Linked DNA regions of Saccharomyces cerevisiae S288C. Changing the gene in region 2 together with the main gene of any one other region gives a genetic interaction. Each region holds a gene or a part of one and is shown on either strand. Other genes may lie near its edges.

Region 1 (3,519 bases), on a different chromosome or scaffold from region 2:
GAGAGAAGCCGAAGCTGAAGCTTGGCATTGGCTGCAACTAAAGCCTGGCCAACCAATGTACAAAAGAGAAGCCGACGCTGAAGCTTGGCATTGGCTGCAACTAAAGCCTGGCCAACCAATGTACAAAAGAGAAGCCGACGCTGAAGCTTGGCATTGGTTGCAGTTAAAACCCGGCCAACCAATGTACTAAGCCCGACTGATAACAACAGTGTAGATGTAACAAAGTCGACTTTGTTCCCACTGTACTTTTAGCTCGTACAAAATACAATATACTTTTCATTTCTCCGTAAACAACATGTTTTCCCATGTAATATCCTTTTCTATTTTTCGTTCCGTTACCAACTTTACACATACTTTATATAGCTATTCACTTCTATACACTAAAAAACTAAGACAATTTTAATTTTGCTGCCTGCCATATTTCAATTTGTTATAAATTCCTATAATTTATCCTATTAGTAGCTAAAAAAAGATGAATGTGAATCGAATCCTAAGAGAATTCAACAGCGTAAAATACAAAGAGGATAACGACAACGAAAAAAAATACACTCCCTGATTATGATGCCTCTGAGCTTGACATTTTCGTTGTCAACCAAGAAAACCATGAGCCAAAAAAGCGTCCTAACGCTCCCAGTAGCTTTTTCAAAACACTTTCATAATCTTCAGTATTGGCATCGCCTTCTTTTACAATTGACTTAGCGTTTTGATCGGCGGGTTTATCTATTTTCTGTATTTCTTCTTGTTCGGACATATCCGTATTTTCAGTATCAGAACCGTTGATCTCATGTTCTGATTCTTGCGTGTCGGTGACGTCTGTATCTTCATTAACTCTTGTGTTATCATTATCATTACCTTCAGATAGATTGTCTAAACCTTTGTCCTGTTTATTCTCTGTCTGTTCCTGAGAAAAGTTTGGAGAGAGCTCCTTATTCTCTTCTTTTGGATCTCTTTCTACTGGAACTTCGTTCAATGGAGCATGTTCATACTTTCTTTCTTTCCTGGTAGTCTCTTTTGCAAAAGCAGAACCATCTTGCGAAATAGCTGTTTTAGGGGAAGGAAACGTTACATTACCTTTTAAAGAAGGAGTTGGCGTCTCAGGGCCCTCATAGTACAACTCTGACCCATTTTCATTTGTATTGTGTGCAGTTTTGTCGCCCTCGTCCTTTTCTTCACCAGCGCTTCCGCCGTCCTCTTCGTTATTTAAAGTAGCAACATTGTTTTCATTGCTGTGCTCGTCCACCTCCTTTGGATACTCATCATCGGCAAACCAGTTACCGTTCTGATCTATAAATTTGAAATGTACCTTATCTTTATCATTATGTTTGGTTACCGAAGATTCATCAAATTTGTATTCCCATTTCCCGCTACTGGTATTTATTTTCATGGGTACACCTTCCCAATTGGTAAACTCCCCAGCGATCTTCAACTCTGGAAAGTCTTCCGCCGGATGATCAAATACAATGGTGACCATTATTTAGTTGCTTTGCCTATCTTAATGTTACAACCAAGTATGTATGTATGTACGTACGTATGCAAAGAAGTGGATATAGAGAAGGAAAGTAGGGGAGAGAGGGAAAGAACAAAAAAATTGAAGTTATTTGAGATAGTCTTGTATTATTTATCTGTATGTACACCGTATTGGTGGAACATCACTGCCAAATTTTTTATCCCATTTTCACATAGTTCCCCTTAAAAGAAACTTTGTTAGTATCTTTAACCCTTTACACTGTGGGGGTAAAATATTACCGCTTCGGAGATTTCTTTGACAGGGGAGCAGGGAAAAAGCGATGAGTGAAAGAAAGGGAATGCGATGATAAAGATGATAATGTTGCAAACGGTGAGAAACTTGCAGATCGCAGTGGCTAATTCTTAATCTTTATATTTTAACAAGACTTCTAAACGTAAACCGCAGATTGCTGCATACATACAAGGATACACACACACAGACGGACACTAAACATCTACGTACATACATATACATATATACATAATGTTTAACGTGATTGGTGGGGGACGTTACCACATCTATCCTTGCCAAAGTTTATTTTGAGATCTTTGAAATAGGGGTTAGACTTAATCTTGTCTAAGGCTAAAATAGCATTACTGATGTTAGTATAATTGATGAAACAACAGTTCTTCTCAGGCAAGAAATTGATTTGTTCCACTTCCCCATATTGCTGAAAGATATGTCTTAAGTTGCTTTCGGTGAAGACACGTTCATCTCTTAGGGAATCGCCGACAAAATCAATATTACCCACATAAACATTTCTTGAGGCACCATTACTGACTGCCAAGGCGAGCGCATTTGGTAATGGGCCGGAGTGTTTACCCCAGCCGACTTTGCAACGTTTTTTCTGGACTGTGAATCCATACAAAGAACTCATTGCATAAAACTGCGCAGCAGCAGTAGGATCAATGAATGTTACAAAACAGACGTATCGATCGTTCAATAGTTTTATACTTTGTAATAAACCTCCACGAACTGCATTACATATTTCTTCAATTTTAACATCCTTAGGCAAGCTGCCCAGGTAAACAGTCCTGTTACCCAAGTTATTGGGGCCGCCCGCAGATGTAGCAATTGCAGCAGCAGCAGCAGACTGTTGTAACAAAGCGTTAGATATAAATTCACGATCAGAAAACTCTATCATATGTTCCATACCAGGTTGTACACCTAGAAATTGAGCCGCATTATGTTGTTGAGTTTTGGTAATAAATGCACATCTGTCCTTTCCATAAAATATTCTCTTATTTTGATAGTATGGATTTCTAATTGGCAGATTCGTAACCACTTTTATAGCATTTAAAATAGACGCAAAATGAATAAAGGCGATTCCCTTTTCCTTGATAATTTTTATACAGTCAATTTCACCATATTCTTCTAAATCAACCCTCAATTGCTCCTCAGATAAATGTGATTCTTCGCCTTCAATCGTCATACGGCCAATGTATACATTTCTTGTGGCACCGTCCGTAGAGATTCTAGCCGCTACAATAGGATCAATTCGAGTTGGTTTCCCCCACCCGATTTTGATATCCCTGTCACCGATGTTCAAGCGCTTTAAAATTGCGTCTGAATGGAACAATAGTGCAGCACTTTCATCTATAAACGAAACGAATGCACACATCTTTTCAGGTATGATTTTGACGTCTTCAACGACACCACTTCTGACATGATCCAATAACTCTTTAACGCTTAGGTTTGGTGGCACATTACCCAAATAAACAGTTCTACTTGGGGCCGATGTAAAATTCAAAGGATTATTGGCTTGTGCATTAACTGGTAAAGGCGCATTTGCGTTGGTTACTGCAGTTGCAGTTGCCATAATAGTGGGTGACATGCCATCAGATAACACATTTGGATTCTCATCATCAAAAGGAGAGACTTCATTTGATGACCTTTCATATTCATAATAACGATTGTTATTGTGGACAACTTCGTTATCAATTTCGAAATTTTGTTCCTGTGAAAACCGTTGCTGTTGTGAATCATTTCGCTGCTTTGTCTGGAATTGAGTT
Region 2 (2,786 bases):
TAATATAACTTATCAGCGGCGTATACTTAAACGGACGTTACGATATTGTCTCACTTCATCTTACCACCCTCTATCTTATTGTTGATAGAACACTAACCCCTCAGCTTTATTTCTAGTTACAGTTACACAAAAAACTGTGCCAACCCAAAAATTTTGATATTTTACGTGTCAAAAAATGAGGGTCTCTAAATGAGAGTCTGATACCATGACTTGTAGCTCGCACTGCCCTGATCTGCAATCATGTTCTTAGAAGTGGCGCATATTCTATACGGCCCGACGCGACGCGCCAAAAAATGAAAAAAGAAGCAGCGACTCATTTTTATGGAAGGACAAAGTGCTGCGAAGTCATACGCTTCCAATTTCATTGTTGTTTATTGGACATACACTGTTAGCTTTATTACCGTCCACGCTTTTTCTACAATAATGTAAAAGTTTCTTTCTATGTTTATCATATTCATAAAATGCTTCACGAACACCGTCATTGATCAAATAGGTCTATAATATTAATATACATTTATATAATCTACGGTATTTATATCATCAAAAAAAAGTAGTTTTTTATTTATTTTATTTTGTTCGTTAATTTTCAATGTCTATGGAAGCCCGTTCGTAAAATTGGCGTTTGTCTCTAGTTTGCGATAGTGTAGATACCGTCCTTGGATAGAGCACTGGAGATGGCTGGCTTTAATCTGCTGGAGTACCATGGGACACCGGTGATCATTCTGGTCACTTGGTCTGGAGAAATACCAGTCAACATGGTGGTGAAGTCACCGTAGTTGAAAACGGCTTCAGCAACTTCGACTGGGTAGGTTTCAGTTGGGTGTGCGGCTTGGAACATGTAGTATTGGGCCAAGTGAGCTCTGATATCAGAGACGTAGACACCCAATTCAACCAAGTTGACTCTTTCGTCAGATTGAGCTAGAGTGGTGGTTGCGGAAGCAGTAGCAGCGATGGCAGCGACACCAGCAGCGATTGAAGTTAATTTGACCATTGTATTTGTTTTGTTTGTTAGTGCTGATATAAGCTTAACAGGAAAGAAAAGAATAAAGACATATTCTCAAAGGCATATAGTTGGAGCAGCTCTATTTATACCCGTTCCTCCATCTGTCATCATTACTTAAACGATTCGTTAACAGATGCTCATTTAGTACCTCACATATTCTCCATATCTCATCTTTCACACAATCTCATTATCACTATGAAGATGTTCTTGTTTTTGAACGAATCATACATCTTTGATAGACTTCGTATGTGGAGTATTGTTTTATGGCACTCATGTGTATTCGTATGCGCAGAATGTGAGAATGCCAATTATAGGGGTGCCGAGGTGCCTTGAAAAACCCTTTTGCGCGCCTGCGAAGTTTCCATTTTCGGTCAAAAAGAATATCCGAATTTTAGATTTGGACCCTCGTACAGAAGCCTATTGTCTAAGCCTAAATTCAGTCTGCTCTAAACGGCTTCCATGCAAGAAATATTTCTATCTCTTGAATTCGTACAACATTAAACGTGTGTTGGGAGTCGTATACTGTTAGGGTCTGCAAATATGTAAACTCTCGGCGAATGCCTTGGTGCAATTACGTAATTGTAGCCGCTGAAGGCGGATGGTATTGAGAGAAGTTGATATTCAAAGAATCTTGTATGATAAAAATAAAATTGTAACCAGTTCGTAGTAGCAGTATTAAAACTTTGCACAGGGGGAAATATTTGATTCCGAGATGTATTCCCCCTTTTCTAGTCAGATATGAAGGAAAAAAGTGTAAGGGCAATAGATGGCGCTAATTTGTTCTATTCTATTCTAAAAACGTTTTCTAGGAAAAATATATTAATAGTTGATACTCCTTGTAATTTCTAAGTCAAAAGAAATGTCTCTATCTTTATCGTAACGGCTCATCGTTAGAGCTCAATTGTGCCTCTTGGATGTATTTCCAAAGTTCCACGTTTAATAACCCAGCCAACACAGATTCCTTTGAGAACAAATGGCTACCAAAGTTTCATTCAAATAAGCCTGACAATCAACCCCATCAAAGAGGAGCTCTTTGTTTTTCCAAACCCATGAGAAAAAAATACAGTTCCTTTTCCATACCAAAAAATGAAGAAGAAATCATGTGCTGAGAGTTGCCTGCAGTCGTAGAAGTTTACGATCCTAACCCATTATGTGATTCGTTGTGAGTCACCCTTCCATGATTATGTGTCCTTACTACCTACTATCCAATTACTACATATGTTTTGAACTCATATGTACCAAGCACCTAAAATTACGCACCCATTTCCATTGGCAAAGACTTGACGAAATTTAATACACTGCAATAATATCCAGCGATACTCTTCAAGAATTCCCGCCTATAATGGCGGCTCGCTGTCCGAAAGATTGCGCCGCACTTGACTGCTTCTTACACTCCTTTTTCCCAGGCGATAAACAGACTAAGCGGAAACTACGATATAATGCAGTAGAGGTCCCCCAAGAGCTGGAAAGAAAATATTAGTTTGATAGCCAGCACTATTCCATCCAGTGGGTTCTTGTACCATTTTCTGTGGTATGGCTTTGATTCAACTGCATACGTAGTTAACGCGATCAGCCGCACATGTCCATTATCATTTTCAGGGGTACTGGTAAACCCTATTGTTTAGAAAGAATATCTGGTAAGCGGGTCTGTCGAGTCTTCACTTCCTTCATACACATTTTATTGAGTAAATTATACTTAGATCCGGAATCATAACGTTGGAAAAGGAGACAAGGTTGGATAAGTTATGTAGGCGTATTTCAATAAGACGTATATGATTTAGTC

Evidence for each region.
Region 1: mutations in PAU1 (region 2) and UIP4 together harm fitness more than expected from each alone (negative genetic interaction), as found in Saccharomyces cerevisiae (one large-scale study listed by BioGRID).

Annotation. Positions count from the first base shown.
Region 1 is NC_001148.4:193,956-197,474, forward strand, and holds UIP4 (Uip4p), read right to left. Parts: upstream 1,472-3,519; coding exon 557-1,471; downstream 1-556. Other genes in the region: MF(ALPHA)1 (Mf(Alpha)1p), read left to right, coding at 1-190; MRN1 (Mrn1p), read right to left, coding at 1,995-3,519.
Region 2 is NC_001142.9:8,148-10,933, forward strand, and holds PAU1 (seripauperin PAU1), read right to left. Parts: upstream 992-2,786; coding exon 629-991; downstream 1-628.